Linked DNA regions of Stegostoma tigrinum. The main gene of each other region encodes a partner of the protein of the gene in region 2 in a complex. Links are inferred from orthologs where the notes say so. Each region holds a gene or a part of one and is shown on either strand. Other genes may lie near its edges.

Region 1 (7,591 bases), on a different chromosome or scaffold from region 2:
GATTTGAGGGGAAAATTATGGATCATGGTATAAGAGGGACAGTAACAATATGAATACACAATCAGCTGGAGTGGTAGCAAACAGATAACTATGGTCAATAGATTTTTTTGGGGTTGTAGGCAGATTTGCAATTCAGTTCCATGGGTCAGCATTGTGATCTTTCCTCTACTAATATAGAGGCACAGAAAGTAGGAACAGGCGTAGGCTATGTGGGCCCTTTAAAATTCAATATGATCATGGCGGATCATCCCACTCAGTATCATGTTTTCACTTTCTCCCCATACCTTGTGATCCTTTTAGTCTCAAGGACTAGATCCAAGTAATTCGTTCTTGAAATATATATATTAAATAATCTAGGTTTTGTGTGCAGGAGTTAAATTTCAAAGTTTTCAGAGAACACAAAACTTGCAAGAATTGTAAAATGCAAGGATGGTAGTGTTAATTTCACTAGCAAGTTTACGATAGGGGCAATAAATGACAATGTAGAGAAGAATTTTGGTGGGAAGAACATACTGAAAGACAATCTAAAATAATGGGTAGAATTCTAAGGGAGTGTAGGAGTAGATAGACCTGGGAGCCTATGTGCAGAAGTCATTGAAAGTGCTAAGACAGGTATAGAGACAGCAATAAGTAAAAAGTACATAGTCCTTGGTCTTATTAACTGGGTCAATAGCAAGGAGATAGACTTGTACAAGACACTTTTTAGATCTCAGCTTGAGTATGTTGCACAGAACTGGCACCATATTACAAAGAACGTCAAAGCATTGAAAAGAGCGTAGAATCTATTTATAAAAATAGTTCTAAGGATGAGGAACTTCAATCTACCTTCGTAACTTAAGTAGTTAGCCTTCTTCTCTGCAAGGAGAACAGTCCTAAGAGTAGATATGATGGAAAATTTTCAAAATCATGAGTGAATTGGATACAGCAAATAGGGAAAAACAACTCACACTTGTGAAAAAAAAAGCAAGTACAGAAGGGAATAAACTTAAAGTGACCTGCAAAGAACCAGGGAGAACTGAGGACAATATTTTTCAATTAGCAGGAAATTAGGGTCTGGAACGTACAAGCTGAAGCGTGGTGAAATCTGGTTCCATTGAGACACTCAAGAGGGTTTTGGGAGATTATTTCTATCCAAATTATGTGGAATGTTACACAGGGTGGGGGCGAAGCAGGAGATTGGCACCTTATAGTGATGCTCATTAATGTACTCGTAAAGACACAATGGCCTCCTTGTGCACTGTGACACTTCCCCAAAATTGTTTGTTTCCATTTTGTCAGCAACTTATAGTCTTAATATATTTTAGTCAATTGTGACAACAAGTTTTAAAGTATGAAATCTTATTGAGCTATTCTTTGAAGCATAAACTTAAAAATGATATTTGAATTTTCAAACTGTTTCAATTTTAAATACTATACTTCATAGCAAATTCAAAACAAAAATTGCAGGATGCCATGAGTCTGATGATGAAAACGTAGATATTCTATTGATTTAGCATAATAGGAATCCACACATCCAAGCTTGTCCAGAAAACATAAAATAGACAATATATGTTGTATAAAAAGGACGTATCTAATTTCATGTGATTTAACAAAATTATCAAATGAATTTCAACATAGGCAAGTATGGTTCAGTAATGCAAAGCCCTGAAATACTACATGCAGTTTAAGAGTGACACCATAGCAAAGATACGTTAGATTTGGAAAGAGTGGAGTACAGGTTTTACCAGATTGATTCAGGGGCTCAGTGACCCAACAGAATTGGGTCACTTGCATTTCCAGAGATATCATTTGTCCTACATTTCTGTACCTTTCATGAGGTAGTCAAAAAGACAAACTACAGTCACTTCTTTCAATTCCCATTGTGGCTTGGTGTAGTTGCAATGTGTTCCCATTAACCCCAAGCTGTTGGCAAAATACTCAAAGAGCAGCCAAACATGCAGATGACAGGCTCTAATTCCACATTATTTTCATTCATGGAATTTCTTGAAAACCCCATCAACCCCAGATGAAGTGTCCCTTCGATCATTTCATAACAGTTGGTCATGCTGCCTGGACTGTACAGATTAAAACTCAAACGGACAAATCACATTAAGCCTGTATTCTTGACCATTTATAACGTTAGTGGGAACAAGTAAAAAGGTGTAGAGAAGTTATTTCTACTGGTCAGTGAGTCTGATTACAAAGGTATTGTACATCTAAGAGTATGAACCAGGCCTTGCAGGAGTGCAGTTAAGAAACACATTTTACAGACAAAGAGTGAAAAGTTTGGACTCTTCGTCCAATAGTAACTGCTGTAAGGTCAATCGATTTTTCTTAACCAAAGAAACTGAAGGATTTGGCTGAGGAAGAGCATACGGACATCACAATTCAATGCTAGTCTCAAGCCACTTGAGCCTTTTCAAGAAACTTTAGTAATGTTATTTGATGATTAAGGAAAGACATTGGATAAATATAAGAGAATGAAAGTGACAGAAGGTTATGTTTCATAGCGCAGGATGAAGTCTGGTGCGAATAGTTTCGTATGCAACATGAATCAGTATGGAATTAGAGTATAAAAAGGTCTTCAAGCTGTTTAATGTTGACCGTTAAGTTTCTACCTTCTTATTTAACTTCAACACTCAGACCTTCAAGATATTAGACTTGAACAAATTTGTGCTGCAGGGCCAAAAGCAAAATGCAGAGACACAGCCGCCCGTCGAAAACTTCAAAAGGCTTCCCAGGCAAGTAAAGCAGTTCATAAAGATCGCTGCCGTTTTGGTTATTCTTTTTCCTCATCCCCAGCACGAAATGAAGAAACACCATCTTACCCACTCACTGGCCTTTGGGTTAAAAGTATACAACGCAACCTGGCTGGTCACATCGACGATGCTGGAGATGAAAGGGTCATTTTGTTTCAAGGCAGAAAGGCTTATATCGCGGCCTTTACTCAGGGCCTCCATGTTGGATTTCCTGAGTTGTGTAAAGGAGAAACTCAAGAAATGTTCCCTCCCCCTGACCTTCTTCCCGGAAAGACAAACCATTCACTGCAGCAAAATATCCGCACGCCTCAACACTTCCAGTTTGCAGATTCAAATGGAGCTTTTTTCTCTTCCGCTTCACATCGGTAAAACATTAACGCAGTTTTTTTAAATGAGGGATAAAATTGTGAAGATCGAGCATTACCCCTCCCTTTACAATAAGGATTTTGAAAAATTCTTCTGTGACTATTTTGCAGCCGTCATTTGTCCCTCGTGCCTCACCATTACTTATTCCAAAGTGAACGTGTCACTACCACTTGTTAAATCAGACACATCAACGTATCGTTAATAAGTGTAGCTCATAAGTAAATTTATTGCACCGGCGTAGCCCTGGTAATCCGCAGGAATAACAGCGGCAAAGCTTTGGGAGATTTTTAGTCATCAATCTTATAAATGGTGAGGTATCCCATTAAAAATAGCAAACGTATGCGTATGATTAAGTGGTACAGTAAACAGGTGCAAATACAGTAAGGAGCAGTTCGCGTGTTATTTAATTCGAATTTCAGTCAGTTATAAGAATCACTTCGCGTACGTAACTCACTGCGAAGTCCTGGCCGTACCCTGATATACAAATAACTGCTTCGTGTGCACACATTGATTTATTTTGGAGAGTCATTCTTGATTTTCTTTTTCTACACATTATAGAATGCCAGAGGGATGCTACTCGACCACAAAAACTCACATTTCCTCTATATTAAAAAAAACTGCGAGTGCTGGAAATCAGAACAATAAAACAGAAATTGCTGGCGAGAAGAATAGTAGGCACTGCCGATGCTGGAGAATCTGACGTTTCGGGTCTAGACCCTTATTCAGAAAATTTTCAAAATTAACAAATTTTTCCTGTTTTTGGCAATACTCAAGTTTTGTGAAATTAAACTACTTCAATAAATAATTATTTCAAACATGTAGCAATTGACAGGCCTCTAAAATTGCACAGTTGCTTATTAAGAGTTGAGCAATGGAGATTGTTCATCTGCACTTTTCAAGTTTAGCGTGATAATGATTTTGAAAGTGTAACTGTACGTGAATCAGAAGAGTTTTGTTTTCTGGCAGGATACATAAGGAAGTAGGATTGGGAATGGGCAGTGGTTTGAGATTGATAAGAGACATAAAAAGACTATGAGGTTGACCCCTTAGTCTAGGGACATGGGTTCTTCCTTTAGGACTTCTGTTGAGTGAATGTGCATCAGGTCCCATGTTTCAATCTTGGATGAATGCTCCTGTTGTGTTTCCCATAGTCCAAAGCAAGATTCTATACAGAGAAACTTCCTCATCAGCTACTGAAACATACTGTAGCATAATGTTCTGCCATCTGGAGGTGGCAAGGGCTCCTGGGGAGTATATTTGAGACCTTCTGCAACCATTGGGTACCTCAGGGGCAGGCGTGAATCTTGTCTACTCTCTTGTCTTGAGGAGCCTGTGTGATATATTTATGTACACTATACAATAATGTATGTCCTCTTTCAATATTTGAGGGCTGTTCTCAACATTTTGTTACATCTTAGCCATCCAGTGCAATGTGGGGTAGTCAGATTGAAGAACTTATTTTTTAGCATGCTCATGGGCCTGGTAATTAACAGGTCCATCAGTGAACTGTTGAGGAAGTTATTTGACCCAACTATCTGATTCTTTTTTCTTGGATATATCCATGCTCTGGTGTCCATGGAGATGGAACATCGGTGTCCATCAATACTGGAGGTCTTTTGTAATCAGTTATGCAGGGCACATAGCACTCTTTCTGTGACATTTTGGAAGACTCCACTAGAGCAATCAAGCTATCATTGGAATCGTCCCATGGCCTGCTTGATAATTGTTTGAGTTAACCCCAGAAGATGTTGTATTTATCCACTGCATATATTTGTTGGATGCCTTATAGGCATTGTTAGCTGTTTCTTTAATGAACAGCCCTTGTCAACCAGTTTCATCCTTGAACATGGATGGAACAAATATTTGGGTACCTAATTGGGTCTGACACCTAGTCTTTCCTAAGTATGTATGTGGCACAGTTGCTTGACTGAAATGTTGCACAGATGAAATGCACATTGTGCAGAAGGTCTTCCGCTGATAAAGGCTGTTGCCTGGTTTGTGGAAGCTTGTTGACAACATGCATGATAACCTGCATCTGGACTATCCAGAAATGTCCCTAAATCATTCAGTATTCTCAGCTGTGATCCTGAGACATAGAAATTCAGCACCACATAGACCTTTCATGCCACAGGCATTGAGCCATTTCTGATGTGGCTCAATTGATTTTCCAACATAGGTAATAGGTCTGTGCCAACCTACCTAGAAAGGCACAGTCCCCTGTGACACTCTTATTCTGACAATTGAAGATAGTTGAGGTTCAGCTAATAGACATCCTGTCTGGCCAGTAACTTCTTCTTTGTACATAAGACTGGATGCGTGCTCTTCTGATTAGTTTCTTTTGATTTTCATTTGCTTTATTGTTGCCACATGTACCTAAGTACGGTGAAACACTTTGTTTTATGAGCAGCACAGGCAGATCATTAGCAAACAAAGACGTACAGATCATAGGGTGCTTAGACAGAGCAAGGCATACAAGGTTACAGCTACACAGGAGGTGCACAAAGCAAGATCAACTTTAGGTTTGAAATTTGAGCAGTCCATTCAGCAGTCAAATAACAGCAGGGAAGAAGCTGTTCTTGAACCTGTTGGTGCAAGTATCCAAGCTTCTGTTTCTTCTGCCTGACAGAGAAGGTTGGAATAGAGTTTGTGTTGTCATCCATTCGTGATGTAGTTGTATACCGGTGCCAATACATGATGTCTTCCAGAGTGACTGGCAACTCATTAATATCTGCAAAACAAAATGCATCATCCATATTGGTCTCTATCTCAGATGAGGATGCTAATCCAGACAAAGCTTTGGTAATATAATGACCTTCCAATTGCTTGTACTTAACATTTCACTGTTAGGCAGACAAAATCAAAGTCCATTTCTGCTTTCTGGCTGTTATTGAAATGGATATTGCTGACTTTAGATTCAAAATAGCTCTCAATGGCTTATGATCAGCTTTGACTGTGTGAAACTACAGCATACAAGTATTTATGAACAACAACAAAGTTGCTGGAAAAGCTCAGCAAGTCTGGTAGCATCTGCAGAGGAGAAAAAAGAGTTAACGTTTCGGGTCTGGTGACCCTTCCTCGGAACAAGTATTTATGAAATTTGTCTTGCTCCAAAAACAGAAGGTTTAATGTTGAGAGATAACAAAGTGTCGAGCCGGATGAACACAGCAGGCCAAGCAGCATCAGAGCAGCAGGAAAGCTGACATTTCAGGTCTAGACCCTTCTTCAGATATAGGGACAGGGAGGGGAATTCTGATGTAAATAGGGAGAGAGGGAGAGGCGGATAGAAGATGGATAAAGAAGAGGATAGGTGGACAGGAGACAGACAGGTCAGAGCCAGTAAAGGTGAGTGTAGGTTGGGAGTTACGGAGGGCATAGCTCAGACCAGGGAGGACGGACAGGTCAAGGAGGTGGGATGAGGCTGCTAGGTAGGAGATGGAAGTGGGGCCTGAGGTGGGAGGAGTGGATAGGTGGGAGGAAGGACAGGTTAGGGAGGCAGGGACAAGCTGGGCTGGTTTTGGGATGCGGTTGGGGGAGGGGAGATTTTGAAGCTTGTGAAATCCGCATTGATACCATTGGCCTGCAGGGTTCCCAAATGAAATATGAGATGCTGTTGCTGCAACCTTCGGGTGGCATCTTTGTGGCACTGCAGGAGACCCAGGATGGACATTTCATCCGAGGAGTGGGACGGGGAATTGAAATGGTTTGCAATGGAAGGTACGGTCATTTGTTGCGAACGGAGCGTGGGTGTTCCATAAAGCGGTCCCCAAGCCTCCGCTTGGTTTCACCCGATGGAGAGGAGGTCACATCGGGAACAGTGGATACAGTGTATCACATTAGCAGATGTGCAGGTGAACATCTGTTTGATATGGAAGATCTTCTTGGGGCCTGGGATGGAGATGAGGGGGGAGGTGCAGCACATCCTGTGTTTGCAGGGAAAAGTGCTGGGTGTGGTGGGGCTGGTGGGGAGTGTGGAGTGGACAAGGGAGTCATGGAGCAAGTGGTCCCTCCAAAAAGCAGATAAGGGTGGGGAGGAGAAAATGTCTTTGGTAGTGGGGTCAGATTACAGATGGTGGAAGTGCCGGAGGATGATGCGTTGGATCCGGAGGTTGGTGGGGTAGTATGTGAGGATGAGGGGAATTCTGTTTTGGTAGGTATTGCGGGGAGGGGGTGTGAGGGATGAGTTGCGGGAAATTCTAGGTAGGAACAGGACGTTTTGCGCACAAAGTGCTCAACAGTTCATCCACTTCGTTAACACCTTCCACCCCAACCTTAAGTTCACCTGAACCATCTCCAATACCTCTCTCTCCTTCCTGGACCTCCCTGTTTCCACAGGTAGCTGTGGGAGTCAGTAGGCTTGAAATGGATATCGGTTTTGAAGTGGTTGCCAGAGTTGGAAACGAGCTCCTCGTGGGCACCGCCTCGTGTTCCCACCTCCTAGAATACATCTCCTATTATTCAACTTCCCACAAAAATGCCATCCCCTATTC
Region 2 (7,693 bases):
GTGGTATGTCCAGAACTCCAGCAAAGACAAAAAACAGTATTTTGTAAAAGATTCATCAAAACTTCCTTGCTCTTTACATTGTCTGCATGTTTTTAAAGCTCGGGATTCTGTAGACCTTTTAAATCATTATTTCAAACTTCCACTTTCAATGACTCAGGCTCTTATATTCCAGGCCTCGCTGCTCCTGCAACCACTTTAGAATTGTGTGTCATTTATTTTGCTTTGCCTCTCCTTGCTTATCCTACACAAATGTCTCTTTCCACACATCTCTATAATAAATTTGATCTGCTAGGAGTCCACCTATTCCATTAGCCTTTGTTCTTTTAAAACCTCTTTCTTCTATTTAAAGTCTTCTCACCATCCACAATACCTAGAAAGATTTTAAATCACCAGCAATTTCTGAAATTGTGCAGTCTGAAAATCATTTGTCACTCATTTCTATTTCCAGTCAGTCGACTTCATATCAAGTCACTGTCCATTTTGTTCTATAGAAACACAAAAACTGATGGCAAGAATAGGCCATTTGGCCTGTCAAACCCATTCCACTATTCCATGTGGATAATTTTGACAGTTTCTCAACTACCACAGCCTGCACACCTCTCCATGCCTTTATCTTCTAAAAATCTATTTATTTCTCAAATATACTCAGCAACTCTACCTCCACTGCCTGCTGTGGTACAGAAGTCTATTGGTTCACTACACGGAGTAAAGAAATTTCTCCTCATTTCAGTTTGAAATGGCCTGTGCGTAATCTGAGACTGTGACCCCTTGCTCTGGACCCTCTCATCATCAGAAACACTATCTCTGCATCCACTCTGTCCAGCCCTGTCTGCGTTTTATAAGTTTCAATGATGTCTTCTTTCATTCTTCTTAATGCCAGTGAATACAGGCCCAGTCAATCCAATCTCTTCTCAGAAAACAACGTCTGCACAGGGATCAGGCTGATAAAAGAACCTTCAATGTTTCCAGCAAGGCTATGTGGCACTTTACCAAATGCCTTTTGGAAGTTTGTGCATTTTACATCAGCAACCCACGTGAAATGTGTTACCCATTAAAATTTATCCTTAGACCCTCTGAACGAAGACGTAACACTTACATTTCTCCAGTCTCTTGACACCATCCCTGTATCTAAGTAGGATTGGAAGTAATGTGACTGAACTTGTAATCCAGAACCCTGGACTAAAGTTCTGGGGACATCCGTTTGAACTCCACCATGGCAGATGGTGAAACTTTAATTAAAATGCAATCTGGAATTATAAACTTCAGTGTAAGGTAACCATGTAATCAGATGTCAAAACAAAAAAAAATCGAGTTCATTAAATCCTTTTGGGGAAGGGAATCTGTCATTCTTGCCTCTTCTGGCCTAACATGTGACTCCTGACCTGGAAGGTAGTCAACGGCTATCTTGGTAGAGAGATCGGCAATAAATGCTGCCCAAGCCAAAGACTCCCACATCTCAAGAACAAACTGAAAACAAACTGCACTTTCCACCACTGCTTCCTTCAGTATCCTTGGCTACATCCCAACATCTGCTGGTGATGTCAGTTTTTACTTAGTGTCACCCGTTCTAATAAATCCTCTTGAATAATTCTTGGTCCAACCAGGTCTTAACTTTCCCAGTGCTTTCTTCCTTCAATAAGGCAGATGCAATGTTCCTCTGACCAGATAATCAGGAAAAGCACCAAGCAGAACAGTCTAAACATTTATTGATTATTACTCACCTGTGGTGAAGATCAGTATCAGATGAACACAACTGAACCTTGTCAAATTTTATTACAAGTAGTGTTCTCCTTAACATCAATAGTTTGGCAGAACGCAGATCAACGTTACATTTAACTCAAAATTTAGCTTTTTAAAAAATAAATGGAATACTGGTCCAGGCAAAAGTGATTTTGCAGTGGAGTCCATACAGTAGCACCATACAAATTACTCGTGTCAGAATACTGTGCCAACACTGTTAGGTCATGGTTTCAATCTCCACGAGAAACATAAGTCGCCATTAATACGGTCTTTCTGAGAAGTACTGCAACACATCGCTTCGAACCTGCTTTATTTGTTACACATTATTCTGAACGCTTCGGTCTATGCACAGAACAAATGGCAACAAATTTAAACAGACAATTGCTCACCAGTCTCTAACAGATCGAACACCACTCAAGCAATATCTGTGCAAAGACAGCGGCACTTTGGGTACTGCAGAGCGACACAGGCTGGATTCACAGTGCCAACACCAACCTTGTCTCTTTCAAAGTTGTGGCTCAAGTTTCACCCTCCAGTTTACAGTGAGCCACCGGATGAAGCTGGATCCAAGCATTCAAAAAGGTGCATCATTCCAGACTGTAAAGGTCACCTACGGCAATGTTAGGACTCGAGGTCTTCAATTTCCTTAAAACAGAAAAGAGGACATTTGTGCAGAAGCAGCAGGGCTCAGAGCTCTCCCTCTCTCAGCTTACCTGCATTGTAGAAATAATCCAGGACGGCGGTCTCTCCGAAGTCCAGCTTCTCGAAAGGCACAGTATCCAGGGAGGCGCTGACACTCTCGCACGCCTCCCTCAAACACTGCAGAGCCAGGCTCTCGGCGAGCTGCAGCTGAGCCGCCTCGTTCACCACGTACACCACGGTAGTCGGCCGGTTCTTGAGCCGAGCAGCCGGCACTGAGGACGGTACCGAAGCGGCTGCCGTGTGGTCCTGCCAGTAGGTGCCAGCCGGGACACTGCTGCTGGCGCTGGCACTGCCCTGCCCCGGGCACAGGAGCGGCACCGGGACAGCGAGGCCCCCGCCGTCTCCCTCAAGGGCCGCGCCTGCTGCCGCCTCCTGGTCCAGGCTCATATCGGTTAGAGCGAAGCGGAACCGCCGCTGCTGCTGCTGTTTCAGCGACACTATGTCGCCGCTGCGCCTCTCGCTAGAGCGTAGCGAACCAACCTGCTCTCACAGACATGGGAATACGAAGGAATTACATGAACTTGAAAAGAAGCACACTGCAAAAAGCTCGTGATTCCACGCAGCGATATTAATACTTGCAGGAATTAGTCCGATCGCCCCTGCCTGTGTGTATGCTGCTCTGGTTACACTAACCAGTCAGTCCCAAGTCTAGATTTTTAGGGGCTGTCCGATTACCAAAAGAGGACATCCAATCCGAAGGCCCAGTGCAACACGCCAGGAGGAGGCGTGGAGTACAGTATAGCAATAGAGTTTATGCGAGTACCCCACCACTGAACGAGCTCTGGGTGGGATTTTTAAACATGCACGTCATGTTTCAAATGTATTTCCTCACTGCATCTTTGGTTATCTTACAGAGTTACAAATATGGGCTACACTGTGTGTGCCATGTTGATGGCAAACACGCCTTTGATAGTGAACTGTAACTCATGCACTGCGTCAATGTTGGCACTATTTATCAGAGCGCCAATCTTTCTTTGCTTGACCTGGATTCCTAAAGAGCCCCGTCAAGGCAATCATCGGGTCCCTTGCACCCAAACTGGGACAACCTCGTTCCCCCCCACCCCTCCAACCTCCCATTTCCTTCCGTCGCCTCTTGACCTCCCGCAGGTATATTTATATTCCTGCTGGAATCTATTTCTGGAGCCCACGCCTTGAGGAAGTGTGCCCGTTCTTCTCAGATAAGTTTAGACACAATGGGTTGACAGGATGTTTAGTCAAGGGTGGGGTGGCCAGACTGTCAAAATTAACAACCAGGACGCATTGAAAATGTAGGGCTCGCTGATAATTGGTATGTTCAGTCTGGCGGAAGGGCACTTTACGATAGAAGGTCACGTGATGACATCTGGAATATTTCCAGCCAAAGCTGGCAAGTCTATTGAGAACCGGACTTTATATCCTTTAGTACTCTTACATAAAACCGAATGGCTTTCTCACCACCACCTCTGCAACTGGATCCTCATGCTTCTGACCCACAGACCACAATCAGTGAAGATTGACAACTGCACCTCCTCCATGATAACACTCAACACTGGAGCCCCCCCTCTCCCCCCCCCAGGATGCGTTCTCAACCCCCTACTGTACTCCCTGTACATCCGTGGATGCCAAATTCTGAATGAACGCCATCCATAAGTTTGCTGATGGCACCACTGTGGTAGGACAGATATCAGCCAGCGATGAGTCAGAATACAGAAAGGAGATAGAGAGCTTGGTGATGTGGTGCAACAAGAACAACATCGCTCAATGTCAGCAAAACTAATGAATTGATCATTGATTTCAGAAAGAGGGGAGAACACACCCCCAAACATCAGTGGTGCTGAGGTTGAGAGGCTGGAGAGCATCAAGTTCCTCAGAGGGACGATAACTGACAACCTGTCCTGGACTTTCGACATAGATGTGACTGTCAAGAAGACACACAACATCTCTGTTTCCTCAGACAGCTCAGGAAATTTGGCATGCCCACAAGATCTCTCGCCAACCTTTACAGATGCACCATTGAAAGTCCAGGTGTATGGCAACTGCTCTGCCCAGAACCATCAGAAGCTGCAGAAGGTGTGGGCACAGTCCAGACCATCATGGAAACTAACCTCCCATCCGTGGACTCCATTTACATGGCCTGTTGCTGTGGAAAGGCTGCCAACATGATTAAAGACCCATTACATCCAGCAATGCTCTCCCATAACCACTTCAGTCAAGCAGAACATAGAGAAGCCTGAACACATGTACCAACAGCTTCAAGAATTGCTTTTCTTTGCCATTACTAGATTGATGAATGGATTCTCTAACTTCAAAATATGCCGATCTTGCTAATGCCGATCTTGCCTAGTGCACACCCTGCGCGATGTAACTTGCAAGTGGTATGGAGAGGAGGTCGAACCTCTCTGATAATTAAAGTTGAAACACAAGCTCCCAGTCTGTTACAGCAGGAGCCAACTAACAATAACATTCACAACACAACCTACAAATCTGCTCTAAAACTTAGAAGCAGGAGTAGAGGTCCTCTTCCAATAATTAAACCCAAATCATCCAAAGAAGCTTGCCTCACCTCGCCTAATCTGTGAAAAAGTGCGGTTAAATGAAAGAAAATCCCTGATATTTACTTTATAAGTAACAAGTAACAATTTATTTATTTAATGCTAACAGTGAATGCATTAACAGAATTACTAACAAACTGAATAATTCCCCCAACTCCTAACCATTTCCTAACTGAACAAAATTCTACTGGTATGCTGTTCCACTAAACACAAGTCCCCCTTATATAACCCGTGTAATAAGAAAAAAAATTAAAACTTTGTCTCTCAAAGTTTGGGAATGCTCTACCTTCTCCGCTATCGTTCCAATCATAAACACGTTTATTCTACTAATCTTGCTGTTAGGGATGTTTTCTCTATGAATTCTTCTGTGAGGACTCTTAACTAACAGTGTCATGGTACCTCTTATGGATACATGGTGCTTTCTTAGACAGCTTATTGATTTCTTGAGAGAGCTAGATGCTTATGTCTCAGATGGCAGTTTGCTCTCACCCTGATTTTCAAAAACCCTCTGCTTACATATCTTGGATGACATATCAGCTTTCTTACAATCCTTCTAATTCATGAACTCTATGCAACTTCATAACATATACCTCTGTCTAACTTTTTTTTCACCCAATGATCTATGTGTCCTTGCTGAATATGATCTGCCTGTACAGCTCATAAACAAAGCTTTTCACTGTACTTAGCTACATGAGACAATAAATTAAATCAATCACCATGATATATTTTCCTTTGACTAACTATTCTCAATGCAGCCAATTAATTATTTACATGCAAAGACCATTATGGGTAATGCAAAGCATCAAGTATGAGGGAAGGGTGGGGGAAGCAGAAAGTGGCTAAATCAAAATGGAATTGGTGGGTCTAGGCCCGAAACGTCAGCTTTTGTGCTCCTGACGGAATCCTATATCCCATTCCAAATTTAATATGCAATATATAATATTTTCTAACCACAGACATTTTCAGCCAAATGCTGAACTTTAAACAAACAACTGTAGATGACGTGTGCATGGCTTTTGTAGCCTTTCAGCTATCATACACCAGGGCTGAAAACTGTAGATACACTCAGACTAGTTGTGCAGTGAATGTATATTGTGATTATTAAGAATATTAAAATCATGTTGAAGCATTTCAGTATGCTGTGTGAAGACAAGATGAATTTTATTGTAAATACTGTAATTTTCAAGTGGAAATACTGGTCATGTAATTTTACAAACTATATGAATTTGACTTAACAAAAGTAATACCAGGAAAAGGCAGACTTGCCATAAAACTGGAAGAGGAGATTTCCATAAACAGTTTGTGCGTTGCTATACTGGGAAGAAGATGACAATATAAAGGGTAATATTCCAGTTCTGAGGAATTGTTTGTATTGAAACTGAACAGGAAGAATCTAATACAGCCGGTTAGTTGTGTGCGTGGTTAGAGGTTTTCTTTGCATTTAAACTGACAGCAAGCTAAATTAAGGCCTTGCTAATTATACAGTGTCAGACACAACTCCTTTTCATCAAATACTCTAACTCATTGCGTCCAGGAAATAACAACTAATGCTCCACCCAGATTTATCACTGAGAACTGCCAAAATTGAGAGAGTAGGAGTTGAACCCCATTCCTCAAGTTTCCAGCTATTCAGTTTTGTTTTCATAAACTATTTCTGGTAATATTACAGTACTGTAGTTTGAGAATCAACATTTAACGTAAAACACTTCCTCAACTGGTCTCACGATGAATCAAAATATTGAACCATTATGTCATTCTCTATTCATGGTATTGTATCAGAAAAAAATCATTAAGTATAGAAATCTCTTGTTACAATATTTATGATTATGCAAAAACTCTGTTGATCAAAAATGCCTCGATCATCTCAGTGAATTCCATAAATTGCCGTTCTATATAATTATGTAATAGGTCTTTGATTTCTTTTCAATTTTTTTTGCAACACATTACCAGTACTAACAGTGCCACAGATTCAGCCAATACTTCCACGTTTAATTCACAGCAAGCTCTTGAGATTGTTTACATTGGCTGAACATTTGGCTGTTTTTGGCTGGTTATCCAAACCACCTGCAATACTAACTATATTCAGGCAGCTTGAGCTTTTAATCACCTATAAAAAGACACAGCATTCATTTTGAGCACCAAAGAAACAGGGTGGATATGTTGTTATTCTGCAAAAACATTCAACTAATTGAAAATGTAATTAAATACTTTTCTTAATAAGGATCCAGCAGAGTCCAGATTACTACAATTTCAAAATTTGTTGACTTGAGACATAGTTGATTCAAACATTATGTGTAAAACTTTATTATGAGCTGGTAACAGAAGTATTGCTTAGTTTTAAGGGGGTGGGGTCAGTTTTCGCTGTTTTAAGTCAGCTCTGGTCCAGTTGACAGTATTTTCTCCTGAGACAGTGCTGGTAGGTTTAAAACAAACACAGAAAATGCTGAAAAATCCCAGCAGGAATGGTAGCTTCGCTGGTGAGAATCAGAGTAAACATTGCGAGTGCAATATAACTCTTCTCTAGAACTGTAAGGTTGAGATATGGCCACGTACCACTCTAGGTCATAAGCATAAAATGTAGGTACTGATTGTGTTGCACTTTTGGATACGCCATATTTTGCCGATAACTTCAAATCAAGGTCCCATCTATCCTCGCAAGCAGAAGTTCACATGGCATTATTTCAAAGAGTGTGGGTGTTTGCCCTAGTTTTGTGGCCAAT

What was found. Proteins that work in one complex are often made in the same cells at the same time.
Region 1: map3k5 (region 2) and dcp1a share a complex: the UniProt entries of both Homo sapiens proteins name them as parts of the cytoplasmic complex. The link is inferred for Stegostoma tigrinum from reciprocal best matches to the Homo sapiens genes MAP3K5 and DCP1A.

What each region holds. Positions count from the first base shown.
Region 1 is NC_081364.1:29,252,594-29,260,184, forward strand, and holds the start of dcp1a (mRNA-decapping enzyme 1A), read right to left. Parts: upstream 3,093-7,591; 5' UTR 3,021-3,092; coding exon 2,808-3,020; intron 1-2,807. UniProt on the Homo sapiens protein: Necessary for the degradation of mRNAs, both in normal mRNA turnover and in nonsense-mediated mRNA decay. Removes the 7-methyl guanine cap structure from mRNA molecules, yielding a 5'-phosphorylated mRNA fragment and 7m-GDP.
Region 2 is NC_081357.1:44,909,397-44,917,089, forward strand, and holds the start of map3k5 (mitogen-activated protein kinase kinase kinase 5), read right to left. Parts: upstream 3,073-7,693; 5' UTR 2,830-3,072; coding exon 2,454-2,829; intron 2,427-2,453; exon of another isoform or gene 2,236-2,426; intron 1-2,235. UniProt on the Homo sapiens protein: Serine/threonine kinase which acts as an essential component of the MAP kinase signal transduction pathway. Plays an important role in the cascades of cellular responses evoked by changes in the environment.